2 linked regions of the Daphnia pulex genome follow. The protein of the gene in region 1 interacts with the protein of each later gene in a biochemical or structural test. Links are inferred from orthologs where the notes say so. Each region holds a gene or a part of one and is shown on either strand. Other genes may lie near its edges. The genes, in order: E3 ubiquitin-protein ligase Arkadia-like and small ubiquitin-related modifier-like.

What was found.
Region 2: the proteins of E3 ubiquitin-protein ligase Arkadia-like (region 1) and small ubiquitin-related modifier-like form a complex in vitro, tested with the Homo sapiens proteins (3 studies listed by BioGRID). The link is inferred for Daphnia pulex from reciprocal best matches to the Homo sapiens genes RNF111 and SUMO1.

What each region holds. Positions count from the first base shown.
Region 1 is NC_060024.1:8,990,436-9,003,047, reverse strand, and holds E3 ubiquitin-protein ligase Arkadia-like, read left to right. Parts: upstream 1-5,314; 5' UTR 5,315-5,475; intron 5,476-5,538; 5' UTR 5,539-5,627; coding exon 5,628-8,546; 3' UTR 8,547-9,073; downstream 9,074-12,612. Other genes in the region: SAFB-like transcription modulator, read left to right, coding at 1,160-1,281, 1,356-1,505, 1,812-2,240, 2,317-2,591, 2,941-3,387, 3,636-3,811, 3,888-4,297; UDP-N-acetylglucosamine transferase subunit ALG13 homolog, read right to left, coding at 4,378-4,797, 4,863-4,970; nuclear envelope integral membrane protein 1-like, read right to left, coding at 9,092-9,209, 9,285-9,365, 9,520-9,681, 9,748-10,088, 10,150-10,316, 10,384-10,397, 11,953-12,326, 12,389-12,612. UniProt on the Homo sapiens protein: E3 ubiquitin-protein ligase. Required for mesoderm patterning during embryonic development. Acts as an enhancer of the transcriptional responses of the SMAD2/SMAD3 effectors, which are activated downstream of BMP.
Region 2 is NC_060017.1:273,297-284,485, reverse strand, and holds small ubiquitin-related modifier-like, read left to right. Parts: upstream 1-6,110; 5' UTR 6,111-6,263; coding exon 6,264-6,272; intron 6,273-6,481; coding exon 6,482-6,622; intron 6,623-6,683; coding exon 6,684-6,755; intron 6,756-6,830; coding exon 6,831-6,890; 3' UTR 6,891-7,038; downstream 7,039-11,189. Other genes in the region: putative leucine-rich repeat-containing protein DDB_G0290503, read left to right, coding at 1,101-1,207, 2,084-2,315, 2,375-2,602, 2,669-2,893, 2,959-3,300, 3,376-3,699, 3,792-3,929, 3,986-4,264; serine protease inhibitor dipetalogastin-like, read left to right, coding at 7,190-7,214, 7,271-7,399, 7,469-7,621, 7,683-7,795; ADP-ribosylation factor 1, read left to right, coding at 9,014-9,161, 9,230-9,339, 9,397-9,522, 9,590-9,754. UniProt on the Homo sapiens protein: Ubiquitin-like protein that can be covalently attached to proteins as a monomer or a lysine-linked polymer.

The sequences.
Region 1 (12,612 bases):
TGTAAAAGAATATTTGTTGACAAAAGGAATGCTGCGTCGGGCTAGAACACGGTTAAATGTGTTTGCGCCAAGCTTTTTATTTATTGTTAGGTTTAATCTGTGTTTCTCGACTCGTCGAAGATAAGAAGATTTCACGAAAGCGCCTGTGGAGTGAAATGTCTTCGTGGTGGCGTTTTGTTCATGACAACGACTTGTCATTGTATCACGACTTGAGCGTTAGTAATTTTCTCTAGTAGAAATACCCGCCTACCTCGATTTGCTCTAATGCGTTCTGAGATCTGAATTACTTGTTTCCACTACTCACGCAAACTTGCGGGTGCCTTCATCGCTGTTACATTGTCCGCAGCACAAAAGCAAATTTTGGTTTCCTGGTAGGCTTTAATTAGAAAATGTCGCCATACAATTCAGTGCATGAGGGCTGAGTTTTTTTGTGTTTTTGTGCCAAAGTGGGACGTGCCTTTTGTTCTACTGTTGTGTATGGCCAAGAAATTCTTCCACCGTGCGAGGATGAATCGGCAGAGGGATAGAAAGTTTTTTTTTTCCTTCTCTCCATTCTTTTCATTCTTTTTAGGAAGTTTTGATGGCACAAGTTGTCTTACCTTTCCCTTTTAGGGTTTTCTCTTGACCCTTTAGCCGCATCACATGGCGAAAATAACTCACGGTGGGAGTAGGGTATCCGTCGTGCCATCTCGCATTCCCCGTGGTGAAATTTTTCGGAGATACTAACCAAGTTCGTAACTTAGCCGTGTGGTGGTAACGCTAGCTAGTTGGCTCTTCTCTCTTTAGCCCCGGGGGTTTTTCTTCGACTGTGCCATATTTGTTTATTTATCACCGGAGTTTTTTTTTGGTGTGAACCGTGTCTCTGAGCAGACAAGTGAGTGGGTTGTGTGTGTCTAACCCAACGTCATGTCCCACTTGTTGCTGCGTATCCTGAGAAGCGCACTTAATGCTGAAGGGCAATGGGAATAAGTTTATTATTTTTTTTCTCAAAATCACTCAAAGCGTCACTGTGTTGTATGTGAGTGCTTTATCACATGACTGTATGATAAAATCTAAATATGCTGTCTCACTAGTAGTATTTCACCGAACGCTCAATTATGTTAGCTTGATCCTTTGAAATGGATGAATGAAGAAAAAATTCTCTCTATTTTCAAAACAGATAAGAAGAAAACCGTAGGAGGTTCTAGCAGTAATGGCGGTAGTCGTAACTTGTGGGTGAGTGGGTTGTCGACATCGACCCGCGCCACGGATCTAAAACATCATTTCTCTAAATTTGGAAAAGTACGTACCACTTCATGACGTGTGATGTGGGTGAATTGTGTAATATTAATATGCCCTTTTTTTTTTCTCTTCAGGTCATGGGAGCCAAAATAGTCACTTACGCTCGAACTCCAGGTGTACGGTGCTTCGGATACATAACCATGGCTACTAGTGAAGATGCATCCAAGTGCATTCAGTACCTCCATCGCACAGAGATCCACGGTCGGATGATTTCCGTAGAGCGGGTAAGAAGCGTTCGTAAATTTTATGGATTGTTTACTCGTGGGACCCTTAAACTAGACAGAGGAAACCGCATGATGTCTTAAAGTAAACGATCGATGGAATTGTGGTCGGTTCGTTGACGACATGACATGCAACATAATCATTTCTCCCTTGCCAAAGGATGAAGTTAGATAACTAAACTTGCTTACCTTAGGATAGGAGAAGCACATTTCTCTTTAGCTTTAATTATTTTAGTTTATTTCTGTCTCACGTTGTGATTCATCACACCTTCTAACCTCCAACTTTCGTGCTGAACTCTGAATCATCAGACCACAGGAGAAAATGGACCGCGTAAGGCTGATGTCATCAAATCTTCTGATTCAAAAAATTTGGCCTCTGCTGGAACCGAAGATGAAGTCCCTGAAAAAAAGAGTGCCGACAAAACTGATGAAACGGTAGCTGATTCGTCGCCCCTCGCTAAGAAAGGCGAAGTAACGACACCGGAAGTTGCTACATCCGCCACGACCGGGGACACGTCCGTCGCAGGAAATACAAAAGAAAAGGAGGAAGAGAAATCGACAACTCAAGGAGGAGACAAAGATGGCAAAATGGTGGTCGTCTCGTCGGCTCAGCAGCAGCGGGAAAATAGGGAACGAGTCAACCGTGAACGGATGGAACGTGAGAGGAAAGATCGACCTCGCCGACCCCCATCTCCTCATCGGCCACGTCAACAAGTCTTGACCTTCCAGCATATTCGGGTATTTGCAGTTTTAAAGAAACGGTCGATGGTGGAATAAGAAAAGCAATGACATCCATCCATATTATGAAAAAAAGGAGGAACGTGAGAAGCAGCGGATTCGAGAACGTGAGCGGTTGGAACGCGAGTCTGAACGCCGTCGTCGAGAAGAGATTGCGCGAATGCGTGAGTTCGAGCGAAAGCAGCGCGAGGAGGCGATCCGACTGGAAAAAGAGCGAGAGCGGCTTCGTATCGAAAGGGAGAGGTTGGAGCGCGAGAAAGCCGAAATATTACGCCTTGAACGGGAACAGCAGCGCCTCGAAAGGGAGAAAATAGAAGCTGAACGAGAAGAGCTGAAGCGTCGACAAGCCAGGTATAATTCTACTTGCCCTTCATCACACAAAATAGATAGGCTTATCCGCGGGAGGAAACCTTTAATGCGCCACGCCTTACGGAAGCCGCTTCCCACGTTCGTTCGTCGAACTTTAAAAAGGATAATGAACCATTCCGTTCAGCATCGTGAATTTAACGATTGTTTCGATGTCTCATGGTCGAATTCAACCATTCACAGTGCAATATTAAAAGAGATTGTCTCCCTTGCCAAAGGATGAAGTTTGATAACTAGACTTGCTTACCTTAGGATAGGAGATGAACATATTTTAGTAGAAGTTCTTACAGTTGAGTCTATTCCGTCTCGATTGTTAACATTTTTGTTTTTTCAGGTCTCTTGCCAAGATAGAAGAAGTAAGGCGCGCTACTAAAAGGACAGCACCCAATGATCGTGATGGGTATTTTGTCGATCGTAAACGCCTATCGATGGAAGGGTCGATGCGATTCGATCCATCATCACGCTTTGTTGATCCCAAGGGTAGCAACGCTGGAAGTGGCGGACATTTTGGATCGGGTTCTGCCTCCCTGAATGCTGATTATCGCGGTTCAAAGGTATCTGAACCGGTTCGCGGCGGTTACGACAACCACGCCCGCCGCTTCGAACGTCCACCCCCGTCATCTGTTTCTGCAACTGCCGGAGCGGCTGTCATTACACGACGCGTAGTCCAAGAAATATCAAGTGTTCGCAGAGACACTCGACTCCCACCGCCGTCACCACCTCCCCTTCCTCGTGATCGCTTGGATGACAGACGGGTCGTTGACAGGGGACGTGATGAGAGGTATGTAACTACTAAATGTGTGAATCTTCTTATATTTAATTTAAAAATGCAGCTGCACTCAGTGCTGCTTTACTTATGTGGAGGCAGTGCCATTTATCAGCTCGCTAAATTGAAAACGATTTTATTCCTAGCCTGTAACAAATTTTAACAGGAAAGTCATTCAAATCGTGACAATCCTTGTTAATCATTATCCAAAATTTTTCTTTCTGGATTAATGTACTTAACCTAATTACTTTTTAAAATTATAGATACGATCGCGGGAGCCGAAGCCGAGAAGGTTTTTCAGATCGTGACAGGGAGCGGGAAAGAGAGCGTCCGCGTGATCGAGGAGTAGGCAGGGGAAGTGCAACTGAACCGATACGGAACAACCGCATGCCGGAGAGAGATCATCGTGATCGATATGCCAACGACTCACGTGGGAAAGGTAAAAGCCGGATGGAAAGTGCGGTTGCGATCATATATTAATTACTATTTTGTGGTTTTCTCTTTTGTTCGAATAGATCACCGTTACAATGAGAGAGTGTCTGAGCCCTGGCAGCGAGGCCCTTCCAGTGCGAATGCCCCCGTATCAAGCGGAGGAGTTGGAAGTTCAAAAACTAATTACGGTTCCAATGGAAGCGGTAATACCATGCTGGGCAATGGAGTTGGATTGTCTTCTAACACCAGCTGGTCTGGCAACGGAAGTACGCAACAAGATCGCTGGAGCGCATCGTCATCCTCGTTAATGCCTGTCGGAAGGTCAATGGCGTCGTCTGGATCATTTAATAACAACTGGACTGGATCAGCTCCCCCTCTTAGTGGATCCGCGCAATATAATCCAGCGACAGGAAACATAGGGAGTCTTAACAACCCTGTTATCGGGCAGTCTGGATCCGTTGGCTATTCGGCAGATCGTTATTCGCGACACTAACTTTATCGCATCATATCCAACCGTTTTTTTTTTTCAACTTAGACGTTTACAATGTATGAAATCAATACACAAATTGAACTTTATTTTTGAAATCCCATCAATTTTTCAAGGTAGGCTGAGAATGCAACTGGATTATTTCTAGGAAATTTCTGGAGTTTAGTAGTTCTAAAATCAACAATGGTAGTTTTTAAGGTTTCTGGATAGCACATATAAACATGTCCTTCAGAATGTAACTTCTCAGCAAGTTCTAGCTGGTGATTGCCCATCAGCTTCTGGTTAACCACAACAATTAATGGCTTTGCTACACTGAGGGCCTCAAGACAACTGCCAGCACCAGCATGTGAAATGATTAGGGAGGCTTTTTCCATATCAGAAGAAATGTTTTCTTTAAAATGATAACAAGATATTTGTATTCTTCGTGAAATAGGAATTGGAGGTTCAACACCAAGTCCAATTTGCAGAACAAGATGTGTGTACCCATCATCTTCCAAAATCTGATGCTCAAATTTTATACATTATTATTTACTAGGAAAAATGTGTAATGCAACGTAAATATCGAACATACCTCTAACGTGTTTGGATGCAAAACTTGAGTTATTAATTCGTCAAACTGGGTAGTCCCTACAGTAACAAAAACGATTTTACTTCCCGATTCTTTATGTGTCACACTCATTTCGAACGACAGCAATACTAGTATTTCAGTTCACTTATGGACATTCCCCACAAAAAATTCTCAACTTGTTTACGAAATTGTGATATTTATTATTCAAAAAAACGAATAACTAATCTGTCAGAATGTCAGTCAGCCAGTCAGGCAAAAGGAAAAGAGACGATGACAGTTTTGTTCATATTTTTTTAAATATTATTGAATGAACTCTAAAATTACGTAAACTTTATTAATTTAGAAATTCTTAACTCATAAATGTAATTATTTTTAAGTTATTTAATGAATCATTTCATCATTCAAACTTACAACCAAAAATAAGTAAAAAAATCGATGTTGACCGAAATATTGGCACTTGGCAGCACCGTTGGCACTTGTTTACAGCAAAGACAATTGTCTCATCAGCTGTCCTTAACTGGAAAGAAAGGGTTTTGTACTTGATTGGCGTGACTCTTTGCCCTTTACCGAGTTTTCATACAGGATTACTGTTAAGTTTGTTTTTCAGTCTTTAATGGTAAGTCAAACTAATCTTAATTTTAATGACAAATGGTTTCATTATATAAACATATTTCATCAGGTGGTGTAGGGAGGAAAACGTCATCGTCTTTTCTTCCCTTGGGAGCATCTTGCCTCGAGCCGTCTCTATCGAGTGAGTTGTTATCAATAATGGGTGACGAACAAGCTGGCCCGTCTAGAAAAAATACAATGGACACTGAAAGATCCAATAGCTCGGGAACAAATAGTAGCAAGTCAGCAACAGAAAATGTTCCGAAACAAACATCACTTTCAGCAGAAGAAACAAACAATCACTTGGCATTTGGAAATGGAAGGACTAATCCGCCCAGAACACCTAGTAGGAATTGCCCTTCTATTGATGGTGAATGTCCATCAGGCCATTTTGATGAAGAGGATTTGGACATGCCAGAATTAGAAACTCCCAGCCCTGTCTTGATGCCGTCACAGCTGCTCTCACCCCCAGTTGCACTCCACTATGATGAAACTTTGCCATTGACTCTTCAAATGCCAACAAGTATTAATGTCAGTGTTAACTTGCAACCTTCAGTGTACAGTCTGTCTGGACCACCAGATCCTGTATTCCTTGACGACAGTATGGAGAGTGGGGAGAGAGAGATCACTATCACTCGAAATCCTTATTTCGATCCCTCTCTCTCACCTGGCCCAGTCGACGAGTTTCTTTCTCTTGCCTCCTTCAGTAGCCACGTCGATGGCTTTCACTTTGGACTGGAGGAGGCACCAGCACCTCCCCATTGGGCCAACAGTAACCGCGTAGAATCTTTTCCTCCAGCTGCTGCTTCTGCTGTAGCAGCATCATCTTCATCATCTGATGTCCGCCGAAAAAGACCGAATACAACTCAACAGGATTCAAATTGCAACGCATCGAAGTCCAAAAAACAAGCCGAGACTTCTGGTGGAGAACCTGTACCCGGTCCATCGGGTATCGGAGTTGCAAGAACGGTAACTGGCGATGATGGCCCAGTTGCTGATGATCTACAATTAGAATGTCTGACTGACGGTTCCTCCTCTGCTACCGAATCAGACATTGACGATGACGATAGTTGCATCGAAGTAGTAAGCGTCCGACCTGGTCTATTGCGTTCTCAGCATCAACCCGAAGTCGTAGATCTTACCATTTCAGAAGACGAAACGTCGACTCCCAATCCTTCTACATCGTCGGGCTATTCTCGTTCTACTGGGAGACAGCCCAAACCATCGTCGTCTGTAAAGTCAAGAGCTATACCTAAAGCAGAGCCTCCAATGGCACCAATACCGGTTGTGATTGAAGAGAACAATCAGCCAGACGCTGAAGTAAGACGAGCATCGCCGGCCTTTGTGTCCGTTACTCCATCGTCCTCTGCAGGAAACCGCCCAGGTGCTTGGTGCGGATGTCCAGGGCAGTTTTACGTGGACGGAGGACGGCCCACGCCCATGGGTGTAGCTTGGCCAAACAATGGTAATCCAATACGAGCACATTACATTCCTAATCAGTCTCTTCGACCATCTCCGCTAGCTCATCATGCCACTGCCTTTTCGTATACACCACCACCGCCAGCTTATCACCATCCTCCACCACCGCCAGTTCTGACTCTACGTTTGCCGTCAACCGTTCAAACCCACGGTGGAGCTCGTTCGCCCGTCTGGTGGAGTTATCCAAGTATGGCCGTTGAAACAGTAGCCACTCCGTCACCTCAACACGTAGCAGGAGATGGATCTTCTAATCAGGCTGCGGCCATTCCACTGCAACCCAGTCAGCTGGTTGAAGCCACTTCTGTCGCTCAACCTGCACCCGTTTTCGTTCCTCAAACAACTGGTATTTACCATGCGGCCCCCACTTCACGACCCGTGGACGGACGTTGTACGATGCCGCCTGCCATTGCTCGAAGCTTCATGCGTATCCATCCCATTCACCAGAGGATTTGGCATTCACAGCACCGCTCGCAAGAAGCTCTTCGACGTCATATGGACATGGCACAACGTGTCGCAGCTGGAGAAACCGTCGAAGTTAGCGGTCCGTCATCGATTCCGGATTCTCCGATGATGAGTCAAGGCATTCAAAATCAACAACAACCCACTGGTTTCTCTGGTCCGCCTCCTCCATATCATCCAGTTGCACTGGAGCGCAACAGCAGTCCTTCGCCACAATTCAGAACTGTTCACGCTCCCGATTTGAGTAGCCACATGATGCCGGCCGTTCAAGCTGAAATTGTCGTTGAAAGTTCTCCTGTCAATTTAGATCCTCGCCATCACCATTTGCCTCCTCCTCCTGCCTATGCTTTTGCTCCGTCTTACCACCACCACATTGCCCATTTCAGTCTGCCTGGCAATTTGCATATCAGTATAGGTCCAGGACCAGCCATCCCGCCCGCAGTACCACCACCACCACCTCGAACCGTACCAATGGAACGCGTTCCACCACCTGCCATGCCCGGTGTTCAAGGTGCCGCAGCAGTCGAAATCCAACCAGCCCATCAGCAGGAGCAACCTTACCACCGTGGCTACCCGTTGTACATTCACCACCAGCAGCACGGTCACCACCACCATCCTCCACCACCATTGATCCCACTGGGCAACAGTCCATTCTTGAGCGGATCACCACATCACTACCCATTTTTACGTCCTTCAACGCGTTTGGAAGAGTACATGCGCTTGGTGGAACAGCGTCGAATGGCCCAGCTCTCGCGTGGTGCCTCCCAGACGTGCATCGAACGCAATACTCTGTCGCATTCGTACAAGCGTCTCTTGCGTAGCAACAGCAGCGTTGATGGCGACAGTAATGAAGACAACACCGAAAAGTGTACCATTTGCCTGTGTGAATTTGAGGAAGGTGAAGATGTCCGTCGTCTACCTTGCATGCATTTGTTTCATGTCTCTTGCGTTGACCAATGGCTTACCACTGTTAAATTCTGTCCACTTTGTCGTGTTGATATTGAAGCCCAAGTGGAATCGAAAGAGCAAGGACAAGGGGATTCTCGTAGCTGGAGCTCGTCTTCAACTACTCCTGAAGGAGCTACTCTCCGTATACCTCCAGACGCAACCGAAATGGAGGCCGGAGCTCCAGCAAGCTGAACTTAACTTTTGCACATAGGTTATTCCTATTTTTTTTAAAGTTTAAATAACGCTAGTTTCCTTCAGTATATGATTATCCCAGTTCTCTTTCCTACTCTTTAATTCGAAGTTTTGTAGTGGTGTTTATATTAATATTTGTGTTTGCGTAAAATTAGCGTGATCTATGATGATGAAATGAGTCAGAAAGAAGAGTTGTTTATGATTAGTTTACAAACTAGTGTTGGCTGACTCGGGGGTTTCCCTGACCAGTGAAACGTTCTGCTCTACCTCAACTTTACCGTAGTAGAGGAATCAAGGAATGAGTCGCGAGTTTTATTAACAATCAGTACCGGCGCCTTTCTTCAACCTATGTTAACCCCACAGTTTAACTGAAATAAGGTTAAAAGCTTTCTTTTATGATTTTCATGTATTGAAATTAATTGCTTTGAAATCGACTTTGCTTTCAAATTTCAACTCTCACTCTCCGACCTCCTCCTCACCCTCCAGAAAAAAAAGGGGGAAATAAAAAGTTTGTTTCTTGCATTTAATTGATCATTTTCACTGTTTCATTCTTCATCTGATTCGTCGTCCGTCCATGTCTCGCTCTCTCTATACGCTGTCGTCTCGTAGTCGAGCACTTCACGATCTGAGAGATGTGACTTGCCCTCCACAAATTCAGCAAATCTATTAAAAAGAAGAGAAAAACAAAACGAAACGGTATTAACCAATCCATTCGGTTAAAATCCACAAGCTGCGTACCGAGAAGACCTTCTATTTCGATTATTTTTAGGTGGAGTCGAGACGAATTCAATACAACGAGGACTAGGTTTAGTTCGCATCCTATCAACAAAACCCATGCAAAAAATCAGGCCGGAGACAAAGCGAACAAAGGGTAGGGATTAGGGAATCTTACGACCGAATAAAAATTCCTTGACAAGACCACCCAATCTGCCACCATTCGATAGAAATGAAAGAATAATAAATTAAAAATCACCTGAGGGGATCCTTAAGTCGATTCATCGTTTTCCAGGCGTTGCATTGGGGACTTCTGCTGAATTCTCGTAATTCCTTTAGTCCTCGTTCAGTTTCAATTCGAGTTTGATCGACGTATTCATCTTCGGTTAATAAGCGCACGGTAGGGGGAAATCTTTTGAACCTACCACATCAAACGCAAATGATAATAATCATGAACTATCTCATTTATGATAAAATGTGCTATTACCACAGTGTCTGGCATCGAGCCCACCACGCTCCCGGAAAGTTATGCGAGACAACCGTGACTAAGATTATGGCCATTGCTCCTTCTTTATGTTCACTGCTTTCAAACACTAGGTACAAGCCACACAACTGAAGAGACCACTGAAGGAGATTAATGGTTCTAGTATTTGTGACTGGACCAAATCGGTAGCAAAATGCGAAACTAATCACTGAACTGGCGGCTAGGTAAGCAATCACATAGTAATGATATTCTCGAAGCACAGAGTACATGTTCTCCCAGAGACTTCTGATCAGGTAAAAGACTATAGAGCTCCCACCAATCAAGACAGCATAAGCACCAGATTTCTAACAAATTATAAAGTAGTTAGTTTTTAAGAAGTTTTTTTTTCTAATTTCAAAGACTTACTTTGGGAATAATCCTGCTAGTAAGATAGACAATAATGAGAATTGAACCCAATACTCCAACAAGCGTTCCAGTAGTGTAGTGAAATATAACTTTCTTACACAGTGTTGGTGCAACCGAAAAAAGGAGTATTCCAGCAATGAACATTAACAAACGATTAAAGTTGATTTCTGAAACAGAATGATATGTTTAATCATGGATTTAAAAATGTTAACACCTCAAAATATGTTTGCTTACGTCTGACATCTAATCTCAAGAGAAATTCAGATTTTGAAAAAACTCCTGTGCATGACATATTGAATGGTGATACCGAGATTGATTTCTCTTTCCAAGGAAGAAATGAAAACCAAGACTGCTGAAGTAATTCGTGAAGATGAACAACATGGCTTGCATTTTCCCCCTTGTAGATGTTAAAGTTGTCATCTTTTATGGTTAAATACACCTGGAAACAGAACATGTCTCGTAAAGATAAGGATGATTAATTAATACTTGATTAGACTTACTGTTGCAGTTTTCCAGAGCCCAAACACAGTTTTTGAATCACCAGGCCAGCAAAATATAGTCAACAACTCCTCTGAATGATCATTCGACACATTGTAAATATTCGCCGGCTTGATGTTATACTGATTCGGTGCATTGCCGGCTTTAACAGCTACATCATTCAACAAGAACACGATTTTAGAATTTAACAATGAAATTTTATATATTCAACATACCTCGAATGGCACAAAACACATGGTTAGAAAATGAAACTAGTATCACAACAAACAATACCGTTTTTCCTATTAAGGATCTAAGGACAGCGGAGCTCATGTTGTATGTTTGATTTTGTGTTGTGCCGCCATATTGTAAAGCAGAAGAATGCGTTGTTGCCTTGTTAATAACTTGAACAAATAGGAACAAATCATTTGATTAAATTTTTAAAAAATTAATTGCAATTTGTTTCTGCCACATTTAAACGCTAGTCAACTACCCCACCTAATTGACATAACAGAAGATTTTTTTTCATCATAATATAAATTTAAAAAAAAACAGTAGCGCCAATTTTAAAAAATAGAATCGGATGAGGGGGATGAAATTTACTTGCAGTTTCATTGAGTAAGCACGATGGAAAGCAAAATTGTCATGCGGTGCTAAAAAGAAATTCAATCGTGGATCTGAGTTTGTATTAACCAATTCCTTGACTAGCATATAATAATTGGAAAAAAACGTAAAACAACAATGGTTTACAACACCTACTAAGCAGGATGTTAGGATTAATTAGAGAAAAATGATTTGAAGTGTGTAGTTTTCCTGTAGTTGCACGTGTGATTTTAAGCAGAAGACGAATCACGAAAAAACGGCGCCCGAATCGTTCGACAAAAATTACTTGGTGAAAGTTTAAACAAGACATCTTATTTGTTTTAAAGAGCATGATTAAACTCAAGTGAGATATCACAATCATGATAAATAGAATGTACAACGGTTTGCGTTCGCCCTACATCAAGCAGCTGACCAACAATGATGTCGAGTTGATTAGAGTTCGAAAATCTCATCTTGAGATCTATCTCTGTGATTGAACATTGACTTTGTTTTCCTGCCTCTGGCTCCACCAACAACTTCTGTAACAGGCACATGGTCTGAAGATGTTGCAGCATTGAATTCTCCTCCTAGTTCTGCCAAACTCAGTCTTAATCTTGTTGAGGCTTGGGATCTGGGCCACGAACCTTTATTCACATCTGGATGATCCTTCATTACATCACTTTTAAATGGCAACAGTAATTGTTAGGTAATTTTTAAATATAAAAATGTGAACAAACTGCATACCTTGTCTTTTGTAATTTTTGCGCTTTTGATTTGGCTTCTTTAATTTGACTATCAATGTCACCAAGATAATCATGGATATTTTTGTCACAGTCAATACTGGTGCTACTTGCACTGCTAGCGGAACTGGTCCTTGCCAGCTCTGGATTGTTTTTCATGGACCTAAGGCTAACTTCAGAGAAAACCGATGGGATTTCCGTACAGGATGCATCCAAGGTAGGAAACACAGTTCCATTTGTTTCATTTTCTATCATCAATCTGGCAAATGCTTCAGTGCCAGCTGGGAAGTCTTCTGCAGGGCATGGGACAAGTAAGGTTTCTCGTAGAAAAAGGGTATCACTGGTCCACATTTTGTTGATACGTTTGATGTGTTCCATCTGGTGAAAAAGTTGTATCATATGTAAAACCAAATCAGTGGAAAGGAGAGATATTGAGCTACCGTTGTCTGATATCGAAGTGCAATTCCAGCCAATGTCTCTCCTGGTTGAACTCTGTGGTCCATGTGACAACTGGGATGAAATCTTGAAGGTGATAAGGAGTCATTCATGCTACTTCCGCTTGTAGTACTTCCGTACTTCCGCTGCGATTTTGCCGATCTGACAAAACTAGTCCTTTCGTCACTTGCCTCGTCGCTGCTGTCGAGCAAAGGTACTGACAATGCCA
Region 2 (11,189 bases), on another chromosome or scaffold:
AATATAATGTTAAAGTATTCTCCCATCTCCATGAACCAATCATTAAAGTAGCGCTTGATGCGCTACTTACGTATGCGTCACTCTTTTTTAATACGTCATTCTCGTTTTAATTATTTGGCCAGACAGCAGGTGCAGGTCTTATCATCAATGATCAATCGAATATCTCCCGTTCAGAGATTCAGAGGCGTACGGCACTTCCTGTTTTTTCGTATTGCGTTCAATGACAGACGGAAAAATTTATTTTTAAATAAAATAATCTAATAGCTACCAACATAAATATTTTTTCTTTTGAATAGCATGAACTGCAAAAATTCACACAATAGAAAGTTAAGAATGTGTGAATTTATTTGATCCAATTAAGGTCAGTCAGCTAAAATTCGTTACTTCTTGTTTAGAATAAACATTTTTTTCAGGTTCGGTTAAAGGAGATACTGAGACATTTTCCCCAGACATCTGCTTTCGCTGTACGCTTACGCTTGCGAATGCTGTACCGATTTGCAGCAGTTTGTCTTTAACTATAGCAATAGGGTGTTCCTAAAAAATTTTTCAAATTCGAACACGTCGGAGAAGCGTTTCGTCAATGTACGTAATTAACGTGAAATGTCAGTAACATTCATATTACGATGTATTACGAATGCTTACGGTACGGTCTATTTAGACATGGCATCAGACCACTTAGGTCCACCATGACTGCTTAGGTGTCACTGTTTCAAATATTTTTTTTATGAACGACATACAGAGGGTATTTATTAATTTTATCTGATAACTCTCTCACGACAATATATACAGTATTACATATAATAACTACTCGCAGCACTGATCACAATAAGCAAAATCAGTGATTATACGGAATGAAAATGGCTTATTTTTTAAAAGTTAACTGCTTTTGTCAGTTTGTGTTGATAATTCGATAACAGCTGATAAATGTCATGCTGCGGCAAGCCCACATAAAAGTGACTCGAAATTGCTCACTTTTAGCTTTGGCTTGACGCAGAGACAGTTCTCTCTCATTCTTGGAACCCACAGTTTGTTTCCGAGATCGTCCCATCTTCTTCAGAAGCTTTACGTCCGCCTCCTCAGTCGGACCATCTGAAGAAAGAATGAGAACGTTCTGGTATTTGATTTCGGCGACGGCCGTCATTTTGCTTCATCCGGTAGCCACCCAGACGCCTCAACAGCCAGGAGCGACCGCAGCATCTCTCATCACGTGAGTAAAAATTTTATCATATTAGTTGGGCATGGCAAGTCTTCCTCATTGTGTACATTTGCAGTTTTCTCCATTATTACAAGATGATGGCTAGCATAAAGGGATATGTGATGTATAGAAAGCTTTAAGATTAAATTTTCCTTCTAACCAGCGGTCGGGGAAGGTTTGGGTGGGGAAAAAATCAGCAAAGTCTCTTTCGAGTACTCCTTTTTGCGCTCAAAGACGTACACACTGCCGTATCCAATTACCTCTATGCTATCCGCCTCATGGGGGTCTATCTAGTTGCTCAAAACAACCTTGCCCTCTTTCTTTTTGCGCTCCCATCGTTGCTCTGGAATTAATAGTTGTTGAAAAGTCTGCTGAACACATGTGCTGCTAACAACAAAAACAAGAATATGCCATTTACTTGTGAAGCGCTTGAACGGAAATTCTAGCTCGCCATGGGCCGTATATGCGGCCGGCGGTAAGGGGGTTGTCTGAGTCTCCAGATTTGACCATAGATAATAAAGATTCATAAATGTTTGATTTCTTTTATTCAAACACGTGGATTGAGTAGCTCAATGAACAAAACCGAAGAAACAACGCCCATTTCCTGTTGTGGGAACTTGCCGGCGATATGACAGAGTGACAGAGGTCGCCGTTTCCCTTTCGATTTGAAATAAGTCGATGATGTCGCTCGTGTCATCCTTGTTTCCAAGTGAATTGAAGTCTTCCCGCTTCCTCGAATTCCTCAATGCCTTGACCTCAATCGACAACATTTTAAAAGATTCTAATCGTAGGCATGGTGATGTCATTTGCCATGCGAATTAGGCTATAACTCGTCTCTTTTCCCAATCTGCGGTAAATAACACATCTAATCGAGTTTCGAAATGGTAGGCATTCGGACATCAGGGACGCTATTTTGACGCTGGTCGGAGCAGTTAGAGAGCAGACGGGCAAGCTCGAACGCCACGAACTTCGTGAGAGGCAGCTGGGAGATGCCCTGACGCGTTCCCTTAGAGATCTTGATTCACGAACACGTGGTCAAGATAAGAATCTGGAGAACCTGGCTATCCTCATGGCCCGAACCGATGAGCGGCTCCGTAAGATGGAAGAAATGGTCATACAGGTAACTTCAAGTCGATCTATAATTAAAGGTCAAATATCAACCACAATATTTTATATCAGAGGGACGAGAGAGAGAGAATTCAACTCCAGAAAATCACTGACAATACAGTGGCTATCCGCAATGGAATTGAATCCGGAAGAAGTGCCGGTGCTCCTAGTGGTCCTGCTCCGGCAGCCGCTTCAACTGGAGATCTCGGCGAAGTACTGAAACAGCTGACTCGCACTCGTAAAAAGGTGGAGAGCGTGGAAGAATCATTGCAAAACCGTCTGTCAGTTGTGGCTAACGAAGTAAGTATTAAGAAAATTAATCCAGTCAAGATCGCGAGTGAGAGCTACATGCTGTTAACTTCCTAGGTGAAAATCGTTGGAGAAAAGTACGAAACGCGCAGTGAGAGACTAGAGAGCTTACAGTTGACTACCATGGAGAACCTGGGCAAAGCTCAAGCTGGCGATGCCGAGAAATTGCGAGCTGCATCTGTCAATCTGGTGGCTACGGAAGGCAAATGGCGACAGTTTTTCAGCGATGCTCAGAATCTGGTCAACCAGTTTGGAGTTGGTGTCAACCGCATTTCTGATCACGTATACGAGTTTCAGAGTTCATTCTTGAGAACAGATGTCAATGAAAATTTCATGATTGCATCCAGGCGAGTCGAATGAAGAATGACACTTCAGCCATCTTAGTCGGTATTGAAAAGCTGGAGACATCTTTGGAGAATTCCGGATCGTCTTCCGGATCGCAGAGCAATCCTGAGGCCCTTGTTTCCGCTATTCAAGTCCATCTGAAACCAACGCTCGATGCTGTTCATTCACTGGTCAACGACTCGTACCAGTCACAGATGAAACTAGACGAAAACTTCAAAGAAGGTTGGCAATCTTTGTCACGCGGAATTGACAAAGGTGTGATGAATGTCACCGATGTGTTTCAAACTCGACTTGGAGCATTTGAACACAAAATGAGTGAGAGTCAGAAGCTTATCCAAGACCAGGTAATGCCAATAATCTCTTTCACAATCAAATAATAATTGAATATCATTACCACATGATAATTTTTCATGAATTAGGTGGAGGAATCTGGAAATATGGCCGAGACATTGGCCGACAGGGTGGACAAAAGCTATGCAAGTCTTGCCAAAGAAATTCACGGGTTGCAAAAAGTAGAACAAGTACTTCTCGACACGGCTGATGGAGTTCTTGATACGAAACGACGTCTCGAATTTGCCGTCCAGCAAATTTTGCTTGAATTGGGCGACTCAATCCGCAGACAAACGGGCGATCTGAACTCGACATTAGCCCGCAAGGTCGACGACGTCACCTTCTCGGTCATCAAAGATCAAAGTACCGCACTTACTAACATGACAAGTAAACTAGAAAATGAACTCGGACAGGTACACGGACTATAAAAATGATTTTACTTTTATTATTAGTTTTTTTTTTCCCTATTTACTAATTTATAGAATTCATTTCTAAAATCATCTAGGTCTGGCGTCAGATTGGCGTGCTATACCAGAGCGCCAGTCAATCACAAGAATTGTTGCAACGAGTGGAACAGCAGACAGCCCAACACGTCGGCGGTAGTCTTCAAGCTCTCAGCAGCATGGACAAAAGAGTTGGCCAGGTACGAATATCTTCGAACGACATTATTATGAAATTGATTAATGAACTTTGTTATAGGTAACGGAACGGGTCAACGAAGTTGACGACCATTTGAACTTTTTGCTGGGCCGCTTGTCGTTAGTAGTGCAGGAATTCAATCAAGTGAGGGGTGGATTGGGTGAGGCTCTCGAATCACTTCGTTCAGGACTTGCAGTCACAGGCCAACAGCCAAGTACGACGGCCGGTAAATCCTCTTCACCTCCTTATGACGTTTCCAGTGGTCCAGTACCCAATCAAGAGGACGTCACCGTTATCACGCGGAAAGAGAATATTAATAACGACAGCGACGAGAATTGAAATTGAATTGCTCATTCGTGACTGAGCTGTAGACAATAGCATTGAGCTTCTTTGCAAAATTGAGAACAGTAGACATTCGTAGACTTAACTCTAGTTTAATTTTTATGTAGTCACAACTTTCATTTCGGACGAAACACATAAAATATAAGTACAGTGCTCATTGAGTAGAATCAACCCCACTCTATTAGCCAAAGTAGATTCTCATCGTACGCAACCAAATAAATTACCGCCAAGTTTTTAAAATCCTATCAATCAAACAATACAAAAAATACGGTCTGTATTCGTTCCTGCGGCGAACGAAGATTAATTGAATTCCACGCCACATGTCTCACATAATAAGTTGCTCCTGCTGCGTGTGTCAACTGGATAATGCACCTTCTGCCTCCGTTCTATTTTTTTCTCATTCAAATGTGAATTGTACACTCGTTGCCAAAACAAATAATACATTAGATACACATTTGTATATGAATCACACGGCTAATACTTGAATCAATATGACACATGTTTCGTATCTTTTTTGACAATTTGACAATCGTGTGGCTTAGTGAGTTGTACTTTTTTCCTCTCTAGTTCTATATTGCATTATAGCATGGATGAAGTCAATACAGGAAACGAACAAGTTTTGACAAAGATTGATTGGCTTCCTCGTCTGACTGTTGTTCAACTACCGAAGGATCAGTGCAATGCTTAAAAAATATTTCTGTAAAGAAGAGGCATCATCTTGTATAATAAAATTTATCTTGTTGTAATAAAACCCCCAAACCGTCTCAAAGGTAAGGTTTTATTTCATACTAAAGCGCAATAATCTAGAACAAAATAATTTGTACAACAACGCATTAATAGCTATATGGAATTAATTAATAAAAATGGCAATAAATTCGACTCCTAAAATGAAAATGACGCTGTTGGAAATTTTTCGTTGGGTTAGCAACAAGTTTGACTACTAAAAAAAATTGCTCGAATTCCAGTGGAAGGTTTACAGAATCAAACCAAAATTTAACATTCATTCAAAAATATCTAATAAAATAGTCTTCTATAATTTCGGTTTGCTGTACTCCATAAGACACAACTTGTCAGTAAGCAAGAAATTTTCTTAAAATTCCCCTGGAATAGGATGCTATTGGTCGATTAATACTGGTGTGTCGCTCATTCAAAAGAACGAAGTCAGCAAACAGAAAAAAATCCGACGATGCGAAACTGTAACTGTAACAACACAAATTATTTACTACCTACAGATGTCGCAACAATGTTCCTTTTTTTATTACGACAGCATTATCAATTCGTACAGGGAAAACCAGCAGTCGTCCCGCCATTTAATAATTCAAGTCATCAACTCACCAAATTCGATTCTAGTTTGCTAACTGATTATTGGAGTAACTCGTTTCTATGCTGCGGTTGGCATTTACAATCTCAGCAAAAATTTTTATGGAGTGAGTGCTATGGACGTAGTGACGGCTGTAAACCTATTAATTCATGAAACATTAATATGATGTATGATTATCAAATTAAATTAAGGGACATCAACTGCACGCACACGTTGCTAATAATCATCCATAACGATTGCTAACTGTGTAATAATTGCTTAAGCAGCCAAAATGTAGTCGAAGAAGATCTCAATTTATATTTTTATTGAATCAAGCCATTGGATATCATCAGTCTTAATTTTAAATATTATCAATCCCAAATTACATATTGTGCAATTGTTTCAAGCAAAATATTCTTCAAAGCAGCAAAAAATTTAAAAAAAATCCTACAAATTTTATTAATATATTCCAATTTATTTAAAAAAAGTTTTTTAATTTAAAAAAATGTACTCATTTCATACGTGGCCGGCCGTTGTTAAAATAAGTTTTTAGTGCAGTGCCGGCATCCAGACGTATATAGCTGGTGCGGCAACGTTTATTCTCGGCGCTTTTTTGGCCCACGCCATTATTCATTATTCTTCAATAGAGTCGTCTCAAACGTGCTGCTAGTTTTAGAAAAAGAACTTGTTTTAACCATGGCTGATGTAAGCACGTAACTATCTATGTTACTTTTTAAGTATTGCTAAATTTACCCCATTCGTTTCTTTTTCCATAAAATTTGTTTTCACGTGTTGTCTTTGCTGGATAGTCGATTTTTTTTTAGTTCTGATCATGTGTTCGATATTTTAACTGTTTGCCTTTGCATTACCCTATACCAATTTGGCTAACTGTGGTTTCTATTTTTAATATACAGGATCAGAAACCTGATGCCGGTGATGCAGGATCAGAGTACATCAAATTGAAAGTTGTTGGCCAGGATTCAAATGAAATTCACTTTCGAGTAAAGATGACGACACAGATGGGCAAACTCAAGAAGTCTTATAGTGAAAGAGTGGTAAGGGTTTTTCCTGTCATTTTTTTTTTCACTTATTGATAAAGATTTTCTTTGTGTTCAGGGTGTGCCAGTTACTTCGCTGAGGTTTTTGTTTGATGGAAGGCGAATTAATGATGATGAAACCCCTAAACAGGTATGTTGTGTCTAATGCACTTAGCTGATGTGTTAAATGATATGCAAGTAATGAATTTCTGTACTGCTGTTCTAGTTGGAAATGGAGAATGATGATGTCATTGAGGTTTATCAGGAACAAACTGGTGGCAATTAATTTAAGAACCTCGATGCATTCATGGAAAACTTTCCACATTTTCTGGACAAAACTGTCTTTTAATTTCCAATGTTGTCATCAAAATATCGCCCTGCTTTCTGTTCTTCATTTCCAATCGAATAAATAAAACCATTTTCGTAACCGAGAATGATCCTTTCGTTAACTTATGGGCACTCTGCCACTTGTTTCTATCAACTTGTATTGCTATGAATATTGACATCAAAGTTCAAGGATGAAAGGTCTTGACTTCCATTTCTTGCTTTTGATCGCAAAGTGCGTACAAACCTTTTCGAGAGAGGATGCATTGCACAACGCTGTTGCTTGGTAAAAATAAATTGTCAATCAAGAATTTATAATATACTTTATTTTGTGTTGTTCAGTTGTACTAGTAGTAGGTGCAACAAGTTGTAAAATTCCCAAAAGTTATAAACCACTTTGTGGGGTTAACGGGATTTCCTACACGAATCTGAAGGCTTTACAGTGCCATAATAAGGCTAGCCCTGGAAACAGTAGGCTATTTGAAATATTCTTTTTTAGGAAATGGTTCCATCCGTGTTGAATTTGTTTGGTTTTCTCAGTGATTCGAATAGCTTATAAAGGACGCTGTCTTCGACCTGATATTCGTGAATGTAACTATTCTTCAGTCGTGAAAAATGTCTGCGGCAACGACGGGCTTACCTATCTGAATCCCGCAATGGTTGCATGCAAGAACAAATTACAGCCTAAAAAACGTATATTTTTATATCATACATAATTAAACGATGCACAGTTGATATTTTTATGACATTTTAGAGGTGAAGATTATTAGCAAGGGCAAATGTAAAAGTAAAACAAACGCTCGAAGAAGAAAAGTGCCAAATAAAACAGTGAGACCCGGAAACGTCACGGGACCAAAGCAGAAATAGGATTACTCCCCCAAAACCTCACTTCGTTCGTTATAACTTGTATCATGCCAAATTAGACTCTAAACTCTCAAAGTCAATATATGTCAATAAACATGACCAACTTCTGTTTAAAATAAACGGCTGGGTTCTGACAAGAGATCCGTGTTACTAATGTGTCAACTATGCCACAATGCCGGCTCGTCATTCAATTTTCTCGTGCCATGTACTATATTTTTTAAAAAATTCGCCGGGTTTCATTTCTCAAAATAGTTCAGATTAATGCAAGCATTCTTAACAGTCGGCGGCCGTTTTTCAAGGAAGACGGATCTACTAAGATGACGTGTTAAGTTCGTGCACAATACGAAAAGTGCCTTTAATCCTTTTTTTAAAAGACAAAACATATGGTTAATAAGCGCATCGGCTTCCAACATACTCGATAGAGTGGGAATCAAACAAGTCACGTGACTTGGACTGTGCTATAAAATTCGATCCAAGCATTATTTTAAAAAAATGTCTCCCTTACTCACGCCTCTAGTGTATACAACTTCCAACTATTAATAATAGTACTAGATGTCTTGATTTTGTATAAAAAAGGTAAATCCTATTATGAGCTATCCAATCCTCTTGATTGAAAATAAATTTTACAAATAATTGTAATGACAAATATGAACATGCAGTTAACAATTAACGTTCTAATTCTTTGATAGTGTTTTTGTTTTTAGTCACTAGGAGCGCATGAGACAAGCTTAAAGGTGAGTGGGCGAGTCTCTACGATTTCCAGAAGAGGGTCGGGCACAGCTTTTTCTACTTCATACTTTTTGACGTGGCAACGTAACGTTGAATAGCTAGTTGAAAGAGGTCTTCGTCCGCCATTATTAACCCTCTGCTCGTAGTCTAATTCGGGCTCGTTCATTCTTTGGAATCCGTTGCGTTCGATTCAGAGTCCGTAAGTTACCTTCACCACATTTACTAAAGAGTCGAATATGTCAACTTCTAAGTGTATTAATAATTAGTTCATTTTGCGAAGCACTTGTAATTGTATGTCGTGTCGAGTCGGTTCTGCCACTCCACAAACTTCACCGAGTCGGCGTTGAGCAAGGGTTTGACAGTTGCTCAATGTCTAGCTTCAGTTTAGTCATTAGTTAGCAAAGATATATCTTTGTAACATTTTCCAGTGATTCTAATTGCCATTCTTCCTTTTTTAGGTTATATTCTTAAGTTATTCCATCCAACTTTGCAATGGGAAACGTTTTCGCCACCCTGTTCAAAGGCCTATTTGGCAAAAAGGAAATGAGAATATTGATGGTTGGACTTGACGCAGCTGGTAAAACTACAATTCTCTACAAACTCAAGTTAGGTGAAATCGTCACAACAATTCCCACAATTGGTAATTTATTCAATTTTCAGCAAATTTGACTTGCAGTTTTTATCATGTAATTTGTTTTTATTCCCAAGGTTTCAATGTAGAAACAGTTGAATATAAAAACATATCTTTCACTGTTTGGGATGTTGGTGGCCAGGACAAAATTCGACCATTGTGGAGACATTACTTCCAAAACACACAAGTATGTTTATTAAGCTAAAAATTTGAGTGACTTTTCTAATTGTCCATTACAATCTAGGGTCTCATCTTTGTAGTTGATTCTAACGATCGTGAGCGTATTGGTGAAGCCCGAGAAGAGTTGATGAGGATGCTGGCCGAAGATGAACTCCGTGAAGCCGTGTTGCTTATTTTTGCAAACAAACAAGTATACTTGTCTTTCATTTTCAAAAATGTTTTGACAACAATGACATCATTATTATCCTTGTATTCAGGATTTGCCGAACGCTATGAACGCCGCCGAAATCACAGATAAACTTGGACTTCATTCTCTGCGCAACCGTAACTGGTATATCCAAGCAACCTGTGCCACCAGTGGAGATGGACTTTACGAAGGGCTTGACTGGCTTTCAAACCAATTGAAAAATGCGTCGCGCTAAAGAAAAGAAGATAAAAAGAAACAAGATTTTCAAATTCATATTTTTCAGCTCTAGTAATCCTTGCCTCTCGGCCTCCTTCGCCACCTTTCATCTTTTTTTTTTTGCCCCCCTTCCATCGAGAGTAAGAAAAAGGAAGGCAAACACTTCTGATCCTACTTGAGGGTCCTCTCGCTGCTCTTACAAGGGACATTCCTGGTTTATTCATTTCAGATAAATTCTTTTTTCTCTTCAAAAATGGAAGTAAGCTTTTTTTTTTCTAATGTTCGTAATCGGTTTATTAGCACTTGAGGCAAGGACGTCTGTATATTGAGAACCAAAAAGGCGATTTAAAAAAAGCAGCGGTACTGAACAAGTGTTGCCACCTTTTGTTTCTGTTTTTCCGTGTGCTACAGTTAGGCCCTCATCATCCTCCATCTTTTTCATCCCTTCTATTTTAAATCTAAATTTGTCTTGTGCAAAAAAAGGTAAAATCTTGAGTACGCCAGCAAACATAATCGATACCAACGATGAACAGTCCCCCTTTATTTTCTATTTCCATTTTGTTGTTTCCTCTTTATTAGTTATCTTTTTCGGTTAATCTTGGAAAAGATCTTGGAAAAGAAACAAATGGGACGAGAACATCGCGAGTTTCTCTCAGTGTGCTGGGTGATTCCAGCTGGATATGTGCTGTTTGTTGCATACAAGGCAATACACATCTGCCCAGCCGTTTACGTTCTGTTTAATGTAAATTGTCATTTTTTTAATCCTCTGATTAGATGTCAGATCGTAAATTGATCATTATGGTGGTGTTTATTCATTAAATAGGAAATTTAAAGTTTAAAAAACAGTTCTGTGTCGTGGAGAGAAATTTAATTTTACTCGTTTAAAAATGAAAGTACAGTAAATTTTAATTCCGACTTGCTTTTCGAAACGAATATTAAAGTAATTTTTCCATATAGTCTCTAGTGGCACTCCTATGTGTTCATAAGTTTTTTGTAATTCCATGACGGGGTTAAAAACCGGTTAAAATTGTAATATGCATACCTTTCCCAAGCCTTGTTCGTCAGACTTAAAACACCTGTGTTTTATCGCGAGGATATTCTTTTAAAAAACCTAAAATTATTACGAAAAGAAAAATACGTATAGATTTTCATAGATTCAAAACGTTTATCTCGAATCAAATACACGTAAATATACAAATAGGTATATGCGAATTTTTGAGTATAGATAGTGTGAAAGTAGACAAACTAGAATTCGAGAACGAAAACTAAACAAGATGAACGGACAAATATGGAATGGCACTTTGCACTTGCGATCAAAATGCCGATTGTGATTTCGAGGATGAAAGGATATTATTTCATAAATGAAGCTCATATCACAGTTTTGGCCTTTTTTTGTAATCGAGTGAAATGCGCACGGTTGTGCGGTTCAGCTGCGACGTACGTAAATAAGCCTC